Linked DNA regions of Drosophila melanogaster. The protein of the gene in region 1 interacts with the protein of each later gene in a pairwise test. Each region holds a gene or a part of one and is shown in the gene's direction. Other genes may lie near its edges. The genes, in order: CG33095, Pura, Grx3 and nuf.

What was found.
Region 2: the proteins of CG33095 (region 1) and Pura interact in a two-hybrid assay, tested with the Drosophila melanogaster proteins (one large-scale study listed by BioGRID).
Region 3: the proteins of CG33095 (region 1) and Grx3 interact in a two-hybrid assay, tested with the Drosophila melanogaster proteins (one large-scale study listed by BioGRID).
Region 4: the proteins of CG33095 (region 1) and nuf interact in a two-hybrid assay, tested with the Drosophila melanogaster proteins (one large-scale study listed by BioGRID).

What each region holds. Positions count from the first base shown.
Region 1 is NT_033777.3:25,095,724-25,102,690, forward strand, and holds CG33095 (uncharacterized protein), read left to right. Parts: upstream 1-1,948; 5' UTR 1,949-1,995; exon of another isoform or gene 1,996-2,111; 5' UTR 2,112-2,282; coding exon of another isoform or gene 2,283-2,746; intron 2,747-2,810; coding exon of another isoform or gene 2,811-2,990; intron 2,991-3,051; coding exon of another isoform or gene 3,052-3,184; intron 3,185-3,472; coding exon of another isoform or gene 3,473-3,745; exon of another isoform or gene 3,746-4,062; intron 4,063-4,218; 5' UTR 4,219-4,406; coding exon 4,407-6,023; 3' UTR 6,024-6,423; downstream 6,424-6,967. Other genes in the region: fd96Cb (forkhead domain 96Cb), read left to right, coding at 1-210; CG33096 (uncharacterized protein), read left to right, coding at 2,283-2,746, 2,811-2,990, 3,052-3,184, 3,473-3,556; CG45095 (uncharacterized protein), read left to right, coding at 6,844-6,967.
Region 2 is NT_037436.4:7,591,410-7,596,095, forward strand, and holds the start of Pura (Puratrophin-1-like), read left to right. Parts: upstream 1-1,681; 5' UTR 1,682-1,868; coding exon 1,869-2,036; intron 2,037-4,686.
Region 3 is NT_033779.5:13,364,401-13,367,916, forward strand, and holds Grx3 (glutaredoxin 3), read left to right. Parts: upstream 1-2,046; 5' UTR 2,047-2,130; coding exon 2,131-2,340; intron 2,341-2,404; coding exon 2,405-2,667; intron 2,668-2,730; coding exon 2,731-2,908; 3' UTR 2,909-3,010; downstream 3,011-3,516. Other genes in the region: Nnp-1, read right to left, coding at 1-1,676; Tap42 (Two A-associated protein of 42kDa), read left to right, coding at 3,324-3,446.
Region 4 is NT_037436.4:14,218,062-14,222,745, forward strand, and holds the start of nuf (nuclear fallout), read left to right. Parts: upstream 1-1,680; 5' UTR 1,681-1,875; intron 1,876-3,378; exon of another isoform or gene 3,379-3,439; intron 3,440-4,684. Other genes in the region: CG7768 (uncharacterized protein), read left to right, coding at 322-816.

The sequences.
Region 1 (6,967 bases):
AATGAGGGATTAGTGCCCATGGAGTACGGCAGTCCCGATGCCGTCGCGTTGGAAAAGCCGCCGTTTAATTTGCCATTCAATTTCAACGAACTCGCCGCGCAGTATCAGTTATACTTCCCAAGTTTTTTCTACAACGGCCAATATGGCAACATACCTTGCTACCAGAAAACACCGCCGCTTTTTCATAACGGCCCGTTGCCCGTCTTTTGATTATGAAAGTTATAGTTAAACTAGAGTTAAACCAAGCTATGTCTAAAACATACTCACTAGTGGTCCTATTATTGTAATCTTATGTTATTTACTTGTGTACTCATCTTATTTAAACGAAGCCGTATTGTAAACAGTTGAGTTTAGAAGATCTCTAAAGTCAATAAAGAACTGCCTATAATTGTATTAAATGTTTGTTTAAACTATACAACTATGTAGGTCTGTGAAGTCTAGCTGTAGCACCCGATACTTTATTTTTTTATTTTAGTTTACCATTAGAATAATGTGTAAAACCCATAATTATTATCTCCGTCGTGAAGTTTAAACTGTGTATTATTTGCAATTCCTATTGCCACAGGGAATATACTTATGTACATAACTAACATCCAATCTATTTGGTTCCTTAGATAATTGCAGCTCGAAAACAAACTACAGGTTGTAAATATATAAATAGACGCCGATTAATTCGATTACAGGTCGAAAATAGGTCCGCAATGGTTAACTTGCCTTCCTACCTTGTTTTGCAAATCATTTGCATCTCACACATGCACACACACGTATTCGAATTGCTTTTGTTTCCATTAGCTGTCAATCATCCTTACATATGTTTGACTTCAACCCTAGTCGGAACACCTCGCCTTCGCTACCATCCATATCCATATCCACATCCACTTCCACATACATTATAAAACACCCATTGGAAAGAAGGGGGAGCGGGGTCGTCGGTCGATACGGCGCGGAATGTAGTTTGTTATGTCTTACAAGAAAGGTGGCACAGACTTGGAAGCCGAATTTTGAAATACTTTACTACATAAATTCAATGATCTACAGAAAATATTTTAACGAAAAAATGGTTGAAAGTTGCTTTTATCTAGGGAAAGTCCTGTAAACTTAAGTGTTTTTGATCTCAGGTTATTATTTTGATCTTCCAGATGAAACTGTAATATTCAAAACATAAGTCTATTGGCCAATATTAATACAATACACATTATTACTTAACATCCTTAAAGTCATGGGATAATATCAGGTTGTTTTATGCATGGGATAAGATCAGGTTGTTTTATGCGCATTGGTCTTATGGAATAGCATTCTCTAAATATGTTTATTACCAAACTAGGATTCTTCAAATGAGCCCGGGTGAAATCCTTTCTCCATAGAAACTATAAAAGTAGGAAACAATTTTGGTTTGGTACAACCAATTAGTTGTAGGACTACGTATTATGTACCAAATTTGAAAAATGTGCATACAAACATTCGTTATGTACATAAACGTGAAGAGTTATGTATGACATAACTTTATAAAGTATTGAAGCAGATAATATTGAAACAAATCCGATTTACATGCACAAAATATTTAAGGGCTCTTATATATATGGGCTACTTCATAGCTGGACACATCTCAAAAACTGTGGATACTTTTTATATAAAATTTTCCCCAAATTTACTTTAAAATATTCCTCTAAGGTGGTCTGCATTTTTGAACACGCTTTGTGAGAGTTTTTAAAAACTATTTGCAGATTTGCAGGCACACATTTCATGACAGGTTTTAAATCATCATTATTGAAATGTATTTGCCTAACAAGGCAAATGAATATGAATGAATAAATATATCCCTCGTTCCGATTCCAGTTCGTTCTGGGGAAAATAGAGATTCGATTCGCTGGTGTTTTGTACTCGCTGCCCAGGCGGTCACACTAAAAATACCAAAAGCGCCGTTGTTTTTTAGGGCGTTTTAGCCACCTTACTTCTTTGTGGTTGTTTGCCTATCTACATTGCCATTTTGTAAATGTGAGTGTACCAAATTTCAGTAAGACAATTTACCCATTAACCGTTCGATTATGTTGAATTCTGTGTGCGAACTGAGCCCGAAATGTTATGTTTGTCTCGTCACCCCCGTCGCCTAGCCCACTGACATCTTGCTCGTCCACGTATAGATGATATAGACGCGAATTGGCCCGAACCCGAAGTCTGAACCCAAAAACTCCGTTAGTCCTTTGTTGATGGTAATCGTGCATTTGAGGCGAGAAATCGAAATCGTTAGCATTCCGTAGAGACATTCAAGGCACGGAGCGAGCATGTTCAGTATCAGCGAGCTCTGTTGCATGTTTTGCTGCCCCCCGTGTCCGGGTCCCATTGCGGCCAAGTTGGCCTTCCAGCCGCCGGAGCCCACGTACAAATTGACCCCGGCGGACGACACCAACATCCGGTACAACCTGCAGTTGTTCGACCGCGCCGAGTGGCAGTACTCTGAACGTGAGAAATCGAAAGTGGAGGCCTTCTTTACGCGCACCTCGCGTGGCAACCTGATCACCTGCATCTATGTCAGGTGCAGCAAGAATGCCAAGTACACACTTCTCTTCTCCCACGGGAATGCAGTGGATTTGGGCCAAATGAGCAGCTTCTACCTGACCCTGGGCTCCCAGATCAACTGCAATATCTTTGGGTACGACTACTCCGGGTACGGAATGAGTGGCGGCAAGCCGTCCGAGAAGAATCTGTATGCGGACATCGAGGCTGCCTGGCAGGCGATGAGAACCAGGTAAGCTCTTCTAGTTCACCCCATTGATTCCGCTTTGCTAACTCGTTATGCACCCTCAAACCAGATTCAACATCAGCCCGGAGACAATCATCTTGTATGGCCAAAGCATTGGCACTGTGCCCACTGTGGACCTGGCCTCGCGTCACGAGGTCGGCGCTGTGATACTCCATTCGCCGCTGATGTCCGGCCTAAGGGTCGTCTTTAGGAACACAAAGAGAACCTGGTTCTTCGACGCCTTTCCCAGGTGAGATAATTCGTTGAATTGCGTTCATAGCCAATTCTAATGTTATCGGATTTCCACGCAGCATTGATAAGGTGGCTAAGGTGAAGGCTCCGGTTCTGGTTATCCACGGCACCGATGATGAGGTCATTGACTTTTCCCATGGCATCGGAATCTACGAGCGGTGTCCTAAGACTGTCGAGCCGTTTTGGGTGGAGGTAATTACTCTTGATTGATTACCCGCCTAGAGCAGGTTATGCACTTATTAAGCAGCATTTTAACCGGAATAATTATTGTTATTATTCATTCTAATAGTCTAGCGTTTTCCCTGAAATCGATTAAGTGTCTCGTATCAAGTTCACAGCTTTTCATAAACATTAAAATTGGCAATTCAATCAATCTTTCTCAGCAATGTGATCTCATCGTATCGATTCTTATTTATTTATTTAATGATATGACTTAAAACTTAGCCTAATTTGCAAACTCATGAGAAACTTTGATTTCAGGGTGCTGGACATAATGATGTGGAACTGCATCCGCATTATTACGAGCGACTGCGCAAATTTCTTTCGGTGGAACTCGTCAAATGACAATTAAAGAATAATGTGGACGGAGGCGTTAGCGACACTACATCGGGCGTAATATCTAATTCAAACCCTGCCGCCGGTAGTGCGTCCCTAAGTTCAAAGCACCCGAATCCTGCCCCTGCGGCAGGAAGCGAAACAAGTAAAAAGAATGTGGACACAAATGTCAAACGGATTGAAAACGATGGTTTGTAATTAACTATAAGTATTGCAATGTAATTATTTATTCAGCCGCATCAATACATTCGAGAATTGCATTTTTTAAAAGATTATAATTAACTAGTTGTCAGGAGACTTGCACCAAGATCCCCATTCTTACAGCATTGTGATCCTGGTCCCCGTATTAATTGAATAAGCATAGGTCATATCATCTTATACTTAACCATATTGGTAGAAAAATCAAACAATAACCGCATTAAGTTCTAAAACGATCTGTTAGCAATATGCTACAGTAATATGGTTTTAATATTTAAGGACAAGAAGTTTGAATAAAGTAATTTTTTGATACTTTGAAAGTGAACTGTTTTCTACTTGCAACCACTTTATTGTTTGGCTTCTACGCTTTTAGGAAAAACAGTGAATATCTTCTTACCATTTATGATTTGTAACTTTCTCTCTAATTTGTGATCAGCTAATGTCTAATGTGTGTGTGTTCGCTCTTCTTGCAGGTGCCTCAAATTCCAGCCAGAGTTCTACTAAAGCTCTCGAGCAGAAGTTTCTTTAGCAAAAACAGTCGGGCTCATATTCAAAAGCCCAACCCTTCTCACCACAGTTCCCAAGCAGGGAACTATCAAGTAAATCGTGCGGAAACAGACATAGTAAACAAAATAGGAAAGATGACCCACCATTAACCGATATGAAGTCGAACGGCTTCTTTGTTTCTCGTTTAAAACAACCAAATATTGCTCCAACACTTCCAGTACTTTCTCCACATTCACCAATGAATGCTAATATACATATAAATAGCCAGCATACCCAACTTTCCGGTCGATATCTAAATAACAAAGTGTCCCAACAAATCGACACTGAAAGTATAAAAAGAGTGGCATCTAACCGATCTCTAAAGGACAGTCAAAACGTCTTATCCATTTCATCAACTCTAATATGCAACTGCGAGAAGGCCCAAAAATCGAATGGCTCAGAAGCGGAAGCAAACGAAGAAATCAAAATTAAACTGAGCTCAGATACTGGTAACAAATCTACCATTAGTAAATTAAAAGACCCGAAACTCTCTTCAGCGTCGGAAAAAAACGCATTAGATAATTCAACCGAGGGTTGTTTGCAATTGAAAAGTGTAATTGGAAAGGAGCAAAAATCGCTGTCTCCGAGACTGACGTTACACAAGAGTGGGTTTCAACAGGCCATCATAATTTCCGACGACAGTGAGAACACGAAGTCTTCGCGATTAGGTACCCAAACAGCAAGGCAGCTCTCCAGTAATTCAGACAATCAATTTTATCGACAGCTTACCCATAAGATTAGCAAATCGGAGCAAACTTCCCCAAACAACTTGGAGCTAGACAAAGCTAACTTTCTCTACGATACGAACAATAGGAGTACGGGCTGTTTGGTGTATCCTTCGGATCCATGGATAAAGAACTCGCATATTAAGAACAGCTTGTCCCCCAAAACGGAAAAGTATTCAAACACCATGCATCACAATATCGATCCGTGGGTCAAGAGACAAACAGATGCTGCTGTGGAAATCTCACGGCTTCCCAAGAAAAATTTCTACCGCGAAAAATCCCTTTCTTCCATAAACAATAAACTAATTTCGACCAGAACTGAGAAATCAAAGTGTGCAAAGCCGCAGTTGAAGCATTCGAAAACGGAGCTGGACGATGATCAAGTATTTTTAAATGAGCCAGGATTGCTTTTTGCTCCATTCTCTCCGCAATATCGCAACACGTCGCATAAAATCTGGTCTCTCGACCAGCCTTCTAACGATCTGAAAGCCAACATTCAAAGCAAGTCAGCTAGTTTTTTACCGGACAAGGTGAAGGAGATATCCAGTCCATTGCCGAACCATGTTAGAAAATCTGTACAACAAAACAATAGTAATTTGCTGTGTCCGAATGTTCAAGCAAGATTATTGCTTCAAGTAGAAAAGCTGCATTCTAGACACAGCTCCCTATCGATTCCCACTCAATCGAAGGATGAACTACCCCTGAACATCCGTCGACTGTCCGAGCAGATCCGTGAACCGCCTTTGGAGAAAAACATCTCATTATCCCTCAGCGATCGTAACGTTAGCAAAATTCCGACATCTGATGGCGTGGGCGAGGCTCACCTGGTTGCCCCTCACAAGATGGACAAATTTCATGTGAGTAGGGATGCCGCAGTGCAGAGTACAAGCCACCTTGAAGACTTTATATCCCTACAACGAGGCCCCAAAGATTCCACAATTGTTAATAATGTAAACCCCTTTACGAGTACTTATAAGCCTGATCCACTTTTAGAAACCACCTGTTAAAACCATTTGCTAGGAAGCCGAAAACCGAAAGCCGATATTAAAGTGTCTCTGCATAGCTCATTCATAGGTCATGAAAATATACAAAATATAAAACCACAAAAAACATACATACATATATGTCTTATATATCAATCGAATCTAAATATGAATAATAAACAAGTAATAAATAATAATTTTAGTAGTACCTTAAGTTTGAAATTTTTACAGTGATTTTGCATTTATATTAAGTAACACTATAATGCCCTGCCAACAATATGGGGCTAAGTTTTAGGCTTAACTACATTCGCAAAGCATATATATGTGTGTAATAGTGTATTTTCTCCTCATTTTATTGTCATTTTACATATTTGTTGTAATACATTTTATAGTAATAAAATCTTTATAAAGAGCTAAGTAACGCATCTAGTTGTTATTCATTGGCCGCCTGTTGTGTGGGGGGTTTGAAAAGTTCCCAAATGTACAATGGTTTTTAAACTCTTAAAGTTGAGAAAATATTACGCTTTCACTGCTTTTTGTTTATATTCATACTCTTTCAGAGAAACTTTTATACAATTGGTTGGTTTTATGAACGTATTAATTTGACAACCCACGCAAATCAAGCCTCTATTAATTGCATTCGATTTGACTTTCACCGAAAAACAAGCAAATTAAGCTCGCTTTGGATAAGGCCCATAGTTGGGATTCGTTGACATAATCCGAGCAATTCAGAGTGTATTTATGTAATCTGGAATCCATATAAAGTCCGAATGCAAAGCGGATTAAAGACAGTTGTTGATAGTCTCTTGTGAAAACATTTGTTCACTTCATACAAAAAAAAAAAATGCTTTGGATAAGAGTGCTTGTGGCGTATAGTATAATTTTATTTGGAAGTTTCCACGGAGAGTGTGCTGCCGTTCATAAAGATAATAATACATATAATTCAACAAAAAACTCTCTTATTGAAG
Region 2 (4,686 bases), on another chromosome or scaffold:
CATCAATTTCTACGCGATGGGAACTTCGAACTTTCTATGTGCTTGTATCCAAAATATCCGCACACAGTGAGAAATTTTTTTTTTGGTACATATTATTAGGGTGCTTAAACAAATTTGTGAAATCTTAAAACTATGAATTGGATTTAATGAAAATGATTTGCAGTGAGTGAATTATGTATGTGAATATGTGTATTGTTTATTATATTGATAAAAATCAATTTTTCCTCTGCATGTGAAACACTTGAAAGTATCGCACAGGCAACGAGATAACCATGAGAACACTTTATATATGGGCCTTTGTCGCGTGAGTGCCACTTGTCGTGTTTTTGTTGCTACCGCTGTAGCTGCAGTTGCTGTTGCACATGTTGTTGTTATAGTTGTTGTTATTGTCTGTGCCCCCTTTTTGTTGCTGCGCTCGTTTTCTCGCTGTTCTCATTCTAAACAATGCAAATGCAGCGTCAGCGGCTCTGCCAGCAACATTAGCATAAATAAATAAATAACCGTACTGGCAACGAGCGGGTAAATAACAAAATAGCAACACGGCCAGCAGACCGACCACAGCCAGTAACATTAATCTACGCTCCAAAAGCTTTCCGATAGACGTTCCATGGGCTTTTATCCTCCTCGCATTTTACGAGTATAGCAGACACCCAAAACACTTGTTTGCCTTCGTCGCCTAGCGGCGCTTGCACTTCGAAGACTGGGCGCGGTACAAGGGATCGCCTAGAAACGCCCACACACGAACTAGTGCAAGTACAGTGGTAATATGATATGGAGAAATGCCCGATTAAAAGTGTATAAAATATTTTTTTTAATTTTAAAACAAATTTTGCACTACCATGGGCGTTAATCTTTCTTTGTTTTAATATTTCTAAATTAAATAATAAATATTAAACATTAACATTAACATATTAAATATTAACATGAAACGTCGTATACTGCCACTTGACAAGGAAGATAATTTCAAAAATATTTGATTATTCCAAATTGTACATTCCATTTAATAATCTAATTTGGATATATATGTATATTGTATATTTTGAACTGAGTCACATACCAAATTTGACCACCCATTTTAGTTGTTTTGCGACCAATGTGCCTAGGCCGCCGATTACAAAAGCAACACCTTCGCCTTCACCGTAAAATGGGCCTCCCCTGCGTGTTTCACATGTGTCGCATGTGACTACCGTGGATTTTGCAGCCGCTTCTGCCGGCAATCAAATTGAGTGCAAAGCTCGGTTAAAAGCCGAGTATTCAAGTATTCGAGTGTTCGGACAGCAGAAGAGGTGTGATGTTTGATGGGTGTGTGTGTATGTGTGCAGCGAATGCAAAAACAGTTTCGATTTTTTTTTCAATTTTTCCACCTTCTGTTTTTGTCTCGATTCGGTGGGGCCCCAACTTATTGCATTATTTATGTACGAGTAGTACGATTTTTCTGGGTTCCCCAGTAAGCCACACGCACACGGTCCGCACCAGAAAATTGTATAAACAAAACGCGGAAAGCAACAAAAAAAAAAAAACGTTAAAATAAAAAAAAAAACAGTATAAGTATCAGTAGCGGTGACAATCGCAAGTGCAGGGCTCTCTCTCTGTCTCAAGTCTTGAGTCTCAAGTCGAGGAGTCTACTGCTCACACTCACTCAAAGTTTGCCGAGGTGGAGAAACAAACTCGGCGGCATTCTCAGTCAAACAACAAACGCAACTGAAGTAACAACGGTTCCGTACCGCGTACCGCCCCCAAAACAAAAGTGAAATTCTATTAGCTACCCGCCGTCTTGGCCAATCCGCCCAGGAATATCGCAGTGCTTAGCCATTCGCGAAAGTTATGGTATTTGATTCCGTTGAAAATCGGACTGAGTGCTGTGCTTAATGTTCCAGCTGCGCCGGGAAGTGTGGAGCGAGCGGTTGGGAGTCTGGGTGCAGCGCGTCCTCGTCATCGTCCTGCATCTGTGGCACCGCTCCAGTATGTCCTTTGTCCGGCGTCGCCAGGAGGCGTTCAAGTGGATTAGGCGCCGACTGGCCAGAAGGCAGTGTCACGTGAGTACACCGAAAGAAATAGGGTAGTAGCAACGTGACCACATCATTTAGCCACTTCTAAAGCCATTAAACTGATATACTTAATCTCAGTTGCTACAGAATTTAATGGGCTTTGAAATGAGATCATTGGTGAACAAATAAATATATAGACTTGACTGGATAGAGTCAATGTGGAAATAGAATAGCTATGTATTTAGGGTATTCTCTTGAAGTAGTTGCTCAATTTATCAATTACGAAAGCCAATGAGCGAGTGTTATTCGAATTTCAATATTTTAAGGCTGCTTTAGACATTACTAAACAGCTGTTTACTACTTTTTTAATAGCCAGCTTTAACAGAATATTAACGAAGTTGCATAGCCAAAATGAAATTGACACTGATCACAGGAGTACCATTAATCTACAAGAACAACTTAATAAATAGAAGCATCTGTGTAGTCATTAATATTATTCGCAAAAAGTGACTTTTTTCATTACCTTAGTACTTAGCACTTTCTAGAGTCAATAAAGTCAGTGCTCTATTATACAGGCCGGCAAAATAAGTTTTGTATTTTATCAAGGTATGCCTAATTACTAACCCTGAACATGTTTTTGTCCCTTTTCTGACTATCCAATTAGAGTTATGTATTTATTACCCAACTTAGATCATCCTGCACTAGATCCCCAAGTGGGTCATCACTCCAGCTCACAACCTTTAGATTTTAGCTGGAATTCAATTAAAAGTTATTCAGCCAGGCTGCAAATTCAATTAACTACAATCATTTCGGGCATTCGGTGCAATTTTTAGCTAATTCTGGTTTTCCTGCGAATCGGGGCACAGCCGGCTGCTGAAGAAGGGTTAGAAAAGTTTAGCACTCGCGTGACTCGCTATAATTTCTCCATCGGAGTTGCTGGTTTGAATTGGTCTGAGCCCAAGTTGGCCACTGTCTGAGGCTTTGTTCCGTTTCCGCTTTCCGCCCGCTCTGCCTGGATGGGTGTGTCCATCGACCTGGCGGAGACATAGGCTTGGTTCTATATAATTCCATCCCCTGGCAGTCGGGAAAACTCCCCAACAACCCCCCAACTATTTTAGCCCGCCAAACAGTTGGCGTTGAGCGATTATGGCTGTCAGCTTGAAAGGCACTTTCAGCCTGTTATCAATTCAAACAAACGCCAAAATGCCACAAATGTGAAAACCGACCGACAGTCGAGGAGCCGCTAAGAGGCCTCCAAATTGTGCAAATCAAATTGAATGCCGTTTTATGAAAGTTGAGTTGACTTTGCCGGTGATTTTTGGCAATTATCTGTAGCTGGCATTTGTGCGATTTCGAAATTTTTGTGTTTGTAACAATGCGGATCTCAAACAGAGCACGTAGGGGTTAAGCTGAACGCCCATGGCATATTAAAAAGTTTTCTAATATTTAGGCTGCAAACTGATATAAACCAATAGACTGCAAAATGGGTGATTTATTTTTATGTTACTGGTCTGAAGGGAAACTGAATTTTCAAATAGCTGAAATGCGGCAATTGCATGCATAAAGTTAATTGTAAAATTCTAAAATATTATAATGCATATGATTAACGTAAATTAGAAAACTATTTGTAAAGGGCATATGATATATGATATACGTAGTCATTAAGCCCGGAATCAAATCACGAACTAGTGAATCACAAAAAGCTTAGGAATTAATTGATTTTAATTGACTGCGGAAATATTGATACTCTTACTCACAACCCAATTTGCTGTGCAACTTTATTCTAATGCCCGTTCGCATTCGCAAGTGGAATATATGGCAGACCCACCGGGAAGAGCACTTAATAGTTATATTTATGGGCCATCGGTGGAGCCCATATATTGTTTATCCCGCTGGCAAATGTTTATTCGCACCACTTGAAGTTTCAGCGACTGCTCAGATTTTTTTTTCGTGAAACCAGAGCGAAGTAAACACTCATCGCGTGTTCCGGATAACGCAATCGCATGGGGATCTCGAAGCCAGGAACCAAAGGAATCCCGAGCTCGTTAGCGTTCCAGGGTAAGCCTGCGTCTGGCATCGTAAACAAATGCCCGTCAAAAGGCATTCAGCTAAACACCGACAAAGTAGCAAACAAAATATATGTGGACAGCCAGCCCTTCATTTTGTATATACATATGTATAATATGGGAACTTGCCAAGTTCAAGGCAGGAGTTGAAGATGTCTATATATGATGCATTGTATCCACAATTATGGCAGAGGGATGGGCATGAAACACGGGCGGCGGCTATTCAGCGGGGCAAACAATAACATTGTGCATAAAACAGAACTCAGTCCCCAGTCGGAAATGCTGACTAAATGGAAGTGAAAGATACTGTACTATAAGATACTCTATGAACTGGGAAGAGAAGTATTAACTATACAAATACATAAAGATAAAAAATTTAGTTATGATAATGAAGACGTAGCAGTAATGCCAGGGATTTTACTACATAAAATAGAACATAGTCCAGTTTTTGTTTAATTTTTTAATCATTTTCCTTGCATAACCAAGCAATCTTGCAGCCCGCAATAATTGGGCATTGATCTGCATAATACTTTGGTTATTTATATGTATATTTTTTGAGTTGTCGAAAGTCCAAACAATTAGATTGAAAAGCAACGTTCTCGGAAATGTATGTAAATGTATTCCTTCGCTGA
Region 3 (3,516 bases), on another chromosome or scaffold:
GGAGTCGGCTTGGCCTTGGACTGTCCCTCCACCTTAGGTGTGGGCTTGGGCTGCTCGTCTGTCTTCGGCTTCGACTGCTCCTCCTTCGTCTTGGAGTGGTCCAATTTCTTGCGCTTCGCAGGCTCTTCTTTTTCTGCCTTCAAGGTCGGTTGATCCTCTATCTTGGGCTTGGACTGGTCATTCTTCGGCTTAAGCTGGCTTTTCTTCTTCACCTTCGTCTGGTCATCTTTGTTCTGCTGTGGCGGTTCTTCCTTTTTTGCTTTCTTCGACTTGGGCTCGGCCTCCTTGACCTCCTCTACTACCCATGCGTTGTTTATGCTAGAACGCACCTTTGCATTGTAATTCACCTTCTTCTGCAGCTCAGGAGGCAGAGCCTTGCTAATAACCTCATCGTAGTTGTGCTCGTCCACCTCCTCAAAGTTAATGGACTGCAGTAGGCGTTTGCGTTTGGATTTGTTGAGCTTCTTCAGTTTTCTTCCGGTTGCAAAGACCTCGTCCTCCATCTTATCTAAGGCAGCCACTTTTTGCTCCACCATTTCGGACAGAGTTTGTCCCTCCACCTTTGGCATTGTCCTCACGCCAAGTGGAAACTCTCCTCTCTGGTAAGTCTCAAAGATCTGGATAAGTTTGCGCAATCCCTTGCGTCTCTTGCTGTTAAAATCGTTGGTGCGTAGCTGCGTCTGCAGCTCATCTAGTACGCAATCAGCGTTGAGCGGCAGCTCCGGCATGTGAACGTCCACGTTGCCCGCTCGGGGATCCAAGGATGTGGCCCGCGGCTGCTCCTCCTCGGCGTTGACCTCGTCATCCTCCTCGTCAAATCCAGAATCTAGTTTCTCAATGTCATCAATGGAGGCGGTGGGGAAACCCATCTGCTTCCAGGCATTGTACTTTTCGCTGTACTGTCGTCCTAAGTCGCTCTGGTACATCAGATGATAGAGTACCCTTGTGCGGCACTGTGCCACTAGCTTAGCATCGCGTTGTGTAGCAATGTAGGTGACAAACGGACGCAAGAACATATTAACCTGAGCAGCAGTGATCTCACCATTGGCCGCCTTGGCCAGCTCCTCAAAGAAAACATCTAGGTAGTGCATGGTCATGCCGCGAGACTTAGGCTGCTCCGACATCACAGAAAGCTGCATGCTGCTGTTGAATGCGGCTATCAGGTCCGCATTCCAGTTGTTCTGTTTGAGGAATCTCAGTAGATAACGCACCATGCGGCGGGTGAGCATCAGGAATTTGTCCATGCGCCACTGATCTATGCCAAAGTACTCCTGGCACATTGTGCGCATAAACGCACTAAAGTAGGCCAGACTGCAGGCCGTATTACCGCCGAAGCTGTCCACCATTTGAGCCAACTTCTCGGCCAGCTCCTCCTGCACCAGCGGCTTATCCGACATCCACATGGTGTAGTACAATCCCTTCCAGATGCGCATGAAGTCGTCCTCGTTGAAGGGAAAGGAGCTACCGGCACGCGCCTTGAACCACTTGCGCAAAATGCGGATCTGGCGATTACGCTCCACCACATCGTTGCAGGCAAGAGCACGTATAATTTTCACCTCCTGGGCGACCACCATCAGCTCCTTGGCCACCTTCGGCTGTGAAGCGTCCTCCTCCTGCTCGACCTGGATTTCGGCCGCCTCGGCGTTGCGCTTAACTGGCTTCTTGCGCGTCACCATTATCCGGCTAATTCAACTTTTAGTTGCGAAAAATAAGTGAGCTGTGTATATTGAATACGGTACGGCACGACCGCACGTGTTGCCGTTCGATGTTGCCAGATGTTGAAACGACATTTTCTCCAAATTTCGTCCAACAGCTCTAAATGCATGAGCTGTACTGAAAATGACAACAAAAACTCAAGCTAATGAAATAATTTTCAAAGAATAAAATAAAGAAAAAAAGAATAATAAAAAGAATATTTAAATTGCTAGTTTTGATACTTCATGAAACGCTTGCTTTATACATTTTAATACAATTTTATATATTTTTAGCCATTTATAGGTTGTTATTTTATAGCTACCAGCGCTGACTTCTTTACGGAAAGTGGCAACTCTCTTCCACAGCTGATAATTCGGTCTGCTTTTTGTAAATTTTGCTTGTCCAGCAAATTTAGTTAAATAATTCAAAGAAATCATGCCCGTGGTGAACGTGTCGGCTGCCGAGGAGTACCAGAAGTACATTAATGCGGATAAGACGACCGTAGCTCTATTCGCCGCCGAATGGGCAGAGCAATGCGGTCAGGTGAAAGACGCGCTGGAGGAGCTGGCCAAGATTACTGGCGAAAAACTGCAGTTCATCAGCCTAAACGCTGAACAATTTCCCGAGATTTCCATGAAACATCAGGTACGCTCGTATTTATTTTATGAAAATATAACAGTAGTTCCTCATTCATTTGCGATGCCACCAGATCGAGGCCGTGCCCACAGTCATATTCTTCGCCAAGGGCTCCGCCGTTGACCGTGTCGATGGTGTAGACATCGCCGCCATAAGCGCCAAATCCAAAAAGTTGGCCGAAAACGCAAGCAGCGCGGCGGCAACAGGACAAACGTTGGAGGAACGCCTAAAGGCCCTAATCAATACAGCTCCGCTGATGATATTCATGAAGGGCGACCGAAATGGACCGCGTTGCGGATTCTCCAAGCAGCTCATCGGCATTGTGAACGAAACCAAGTATGCAAATTGATCATCAGTTGTATTTGATTTCAAGTTATAAACGAAAATATCCTTCGATAGCTTGCCGTACGAGACATTTGACATCCTCGGCGACGAAGAAGTGCGTCAAGGCCTGAAAACCTACTCCGACTGGCCCACATATCCCCAGGTTTACGTCAAGGGTGAACTTATCGGCGGACTCGATATTATTAAGGAACTGCTGGCGAACAATGAGCTCGAGTCCACGCTAAAGGGCTAATTCCATCGGATTGCATCTACTCCTACAGACACCATAAACCAGAAACAAATTTTTAGCTAGATCCTTAGACTTTTTAATGGTTTAATAAAGGATTTTTGCTACATTCTGGTATTATTTTATTCATCGAAATTTTTAATAACAATTGTATTAAAGCAAATGTGCTATAGGTCATCCATAAGACATCTTACACGGGCTTCAATGGTGTCACCATAAATGTTTACAAACTTAACGACATAAATATAGCTAGAAATTTGTAAGAACTTTTTTATACACCAGCCCTGGTTTATCTGGTATTTTGCGTACCTTCATTTTGTAAACAGCTGTTTCGGCGTCGGCATCTTGCACATTATTTTCGCAATATTATTTATATTATTGAAAATACCCATTAACTATAAACTTATATCCAAATCTTTAAATGGCTGAGGGTAATACCGCTGGCGGAGAGGACCAAAAGCTGACGGACATCTTTCTAAAGGGCTGGAACATATTCGACGAGCTAGAAGTTACCGAACTGCCCTTCAATGGCAGCGAATTTCAGGTGTGTAATATTGAAGATCTTCATATATATGTAATAAAAACCAGCATTGAACGTTTACCACAACGTTTAG
Region 4 (4,684 bases), on another chromosome or scaffold:
TATACCGATCATTTGCAATGTATTAAAAATTGTGGAAGCCAAAGCAGGCATTTTTTTTTGCTACTGGATTTTATAAAGAAGGCTGTGAAATGAATTTCAACGAGCCCTTACTTCAGATCCCTGACTAGCCCAGAATATTCGTCAGTTCAGTTCCAGCTGTTCTACTGTACGGTTCTCTTGAAAGTCGTTACTTTTTTTTATCATAAAGCTGACACCACCAAGTTATCCGGTAAATATATTTCTTGTTTTTGAACAAGGCATCGTTCGATTTTAAACCTAATAGATCTGGCTTTTCTCCGAAAATTTTCGGCATCTGCGAAGATGTCGTTGCCACGCGTTTACTTCGATATAGCCGCAGGAGGTGAGAAGTTAGGTAGAATTGTGATGGAACTACGTTCGGATGTGGTGCCCAAGACGGCGGAGAATTTCCGGGCCCTCTGCACCGGAGAGAAGGGGTACGGCTACAAGGGATCACCATTCCACCGCGTCATCCCGAATTTCATGTGTCAGGGCGGTGATTTCACTAATCAAAACGGAACTGGAGGACGCTCCATTTATGGAAACAAGTTTCCCGATGAGAATTTCGAGCTAAAGCATACCGGAGCTGGTGTACTTTCGATGGCCAATGCTGGGGCCAATACCAATGGATCTCAGTTTTTCATTTGCACCGGGAAAACCACATGGCTGGATAATAAGCATGTCGTGTTCGGCAAGGTCGTTGAGGGAATGGATATCGTCCAGAAGGTAGAATCTTACGGTTCACAAGATGGGAAGACCAGCAAGAAAGTAATTATCGAAGACTGCGGAGCCCTCTGAAGGGTGTCAATACATAATAGTGCTGTCAATCACACATTTACACTATTACACTGAAATTATACTTTTCAAGAAAACTTTGCAAAATAAAAGGGGGTGCAAAAAAATGTATTTTGTCGGTTCAACTATTTACATCGCTCTCATATGTTACGCATTTCAGACCAATTCGTTGAATAATCCGGTGCACCCTGAACAGCCCAGTTCCCTGACTCATTTTCCTTTGATTTTTCTTTCCATTACTTTTAATTGACTCAATTTAGTTCAAGAGTTGCTCACATATGTCGCTTTTGATTCTTTCCACTCGATTCTCATTCTGTCTCCCATCACCTTTCCCTCAAGCCATTCTATCCACTTTACCCGAATGCACTTTGCAAATGTCTATTAAGTCACATACACTGATGAAAAAAAAGAATTAACCACCAGTAATACATATGTATATGTTTGGTAAAGTGCACTTTACTAAATACATTCAAAAACTCAAATTGAATCCATTATTTTTTAAATATATTCTGCAATATAAGTTTTGTTTAAACAAATATTATATTTGGAAGTTAGTATTTCTTTTCAAACCTAAAAACACCTGGCTAACTATGTTATACAATGTGTATATGTGTATGTGCATATAAGCCACTCAGCAAACAAAATTTTCTTTTCTCAAGTGCATGTAATACGAATTTCCAACACTGCTAAGTCACATTAGTGGAATTTTTCTATTGCGTTCGTTTTGCTTTGGGGCTCTGTTTTTTTGTATTTCTTTTCGTTATTTTTTCGGGCACCCAAAACAAGTCGCGGCTTCTGCCGACGTCGACCGAGGCAGCGGCAGAGGAGGGGCCGCGACTTGGCGCTGGCTTTTCAGCGCTTTCCTCTCTCAGATTGCATTTAACGCTTGCCGCGTTCACAACACTAGAAAAGCGGAGCAGCGCATCGAACGGTCGCCCTGTCTCTCACTCTCTCGCGCTCTCTCGCGCGGGTGTTTTGTTGTTGGGCAATGCAATTGCCAAGGAAAAGGAAAATGCAGCTGCTGCTGCTGCTCTCCTAAGCAAAATAGCCAAATTAAAAAAGGTTCGAAATTCGAGAAAATTAACCCAAAGTTACCTCAATTCGTGTGTTTTTTGTGTGTTACCTATTATCGATCGAATTCGCTTATCAGCTGTGTCAGGTGCCTTTGGCTCATTAACCGCTTATTTAAGGAAAAATGTGAAATCAAAACAAATTCGTTAATGACAGGGTCTGTTGTGAAAACCCGTAATCAAAGTAGCCTTGTTCGGCTCATGTTTCTAATTTTCATACCCTCTGGCAAATATATTGGTTGATTGATCTTAAATTGAAAAGTGCGGTTGAATCAGTTTGCCAAGTGTTTTATCGAAACATAAAAAATGGAAATCAAGTGTGGCATAAAATTGATAAATGATACAATAAATGGGACAAAATGAAAGAAAAAATAAAATAGCTTTAAACAATTCAAAGCAATTCTTCGTTATGGGGCGTTAAAAGTTGAAAAAACACTGACGGTAATTGATGAAGTAAAACGAAGAAAGATAAGGTGATCAAATTTGCAAAACCGGCACAATGTAAATTAATTGTGCTTTTTGTGTTGATTTTTTTTATTATTAATGGAGACAAGTTTAAGTATTTTCTTAAAAAGTTTAGTAAACTTAGGAAGATGAAAAAAAAAAAATAATATTGCCTCTTTAAAAATCAAGTCTTGTTTTCATTGCTTTCGGCAGTTTCTACATTCAAAGGGAATTAAATAAATCAAGGGCTTCCACCGAGAATAACGCATAGCAGTTCCAAGTTCATTCATTATACATAACTCGTACTTCTTAATTTCTTTTACTAGGCATTTTCCGTACCGTTAAGTTTGGTAGGAAAATATTCTTTCATTAGCGATGGTTCGTCAATTAGTAGGCATATAAATCTAACGGCACAGTGCCCTAACAGCACAGAAGACAACTAACCGGAACTGAAAACTAGCACTAAAAACCAATAAGTAAAAGGCCTAAGGTAGCCGCAATAACAAAAGAACGGAAAAGACCCTCTGATGACATCAACAAAAAGGGGGTGTACGAAAGAGATGGGACGAAATGGATGGAGATTACCATCCAATCCCGCATGCGTCCCGTTACTCTTGCTTTTCGGTTCGTGTCCACGCTTATTCACTTGCGCTTTTATTTAGTAATGAGTAAAACATATACATACATACGTATGTATGCATATATGAACATATGATGGGAGGCATTTTGGGAGCGGTTGGCTTGGGGTGACCGTATATAAATTCCACATAATTATGCGCTGTCCCTGACTCAAAAACCATATGTTCAAAATAAAGGAGGCGGGCGGATTCGGCGAGAGAATCACCCTCGGACATATGGCGAAAAACTTTTCCTTTGGGGGATCGGATCGCTCTCTTTCTTCGGTCCCTTGTCATTGCTCTTGTTTGTTGATTATTATTTTTTCCTATTTATAAAGATTGCGCCTCCCCAAATTCGCTCTCCCAGTCTCTCATTTTTCTCTCTATCGCTGGCGACTGCCTCGGTTTATTTTGCCCCTGAATTTCTGGTTCATTCAGTTTGCTTTTCGCGTTTCGCGTGCTTTAATCGAAATTTGTTTTTCTCCCTCGATTGTGGTTGTAATAAAATACATAATACACCATTTTAAATAATCGAAAAAATTAGCTATTCACTTTTAAAATTGAAAAATATTTGTGAGATCGCGGCACAGATTATTGAAGATCATAAAATCGGCAGGAAAATTAAAAATATTTTAAAGGATTGCATCATTAGTTTTTGGTTCTTTTAAGCAAAAGCTTTCAAGAAAGTTATAGAATACATAATAGTACATTAAAAATAATCAATGACAATTTTTTTTCAAGTTCTTATGTATATGATTCCCATATAATTGATGCAAAGTCTTTAAATATACATTTGTTTGAAATCATGAATATTTTATGTGGTACTCAGCATTCCTGATCCAATTTCGGCTAATCATTGTATATTTTACAACCTTTTTGTTGTAACTTGTTCACTTCACTTTGTTGCATGAAAAGTGCACAGCAGCGAAGTAAAATTTGCATTTAATGAGCTCCCCTCGTTCGACTCATCCCCATTTTCACCCCTTCCTTCGTCGACCATTGTATGCAAATCTTTGTGGAATTCAATTTTGCTGAAGAGTAGCTAATGATAATTTTCTATTATGCTGTTTTTGATTGCCTGACATGGGCGAGGAAAAAATGGTTGAAGAGATATGATAATCCAAAAATATTCAGCTGACAAGAAAGGAAAGTTTACTTCATTAGCAAATTAGTTTTAGTTGAATTGAAATCAGATTATTCGGTTACTTACTGTACTTGTATTGAAGGAATTGGATTGTATTTTGATAAGGGTTTCCAAATCATTTGTAATAAAGTTGTATTTTATTTATTTGAATGCTTATTTCGTAAATCAACTTGGAATCATTCAAAGCAAATAAAGTTCTTTAAAAAGTAAAATCTTTATCAGTCATGCCCTGCTTTTAATTGGCCCTCATATTGACCTTTATTTAAATTTGTATGTGATAACGTGAAAATGAAGCTTTGACAAGGGCACCTTAACTATACACGTCGCCGAACGATTTGATAAGACTAAGAATGATTCAGTTTACTAGACTACAAAAGTAAACAGCACGCCACAAATTCCAAGTAAAAGAAAAGCAAACTTAGCCAGCCATTGCATTTTCTGGTAATTAGAAACTAGGCGGGAATTCAAAACCTGAGGAACAAAATAACAATGAAAATAGGGAGAGGTTGGAAAATAGCTGTACGACGAGGATATGTAAAATTGTCTAGAATTCTGCTCAAAGTCTGAACAAAATAATTTTACGGTCTGTTGGTTCT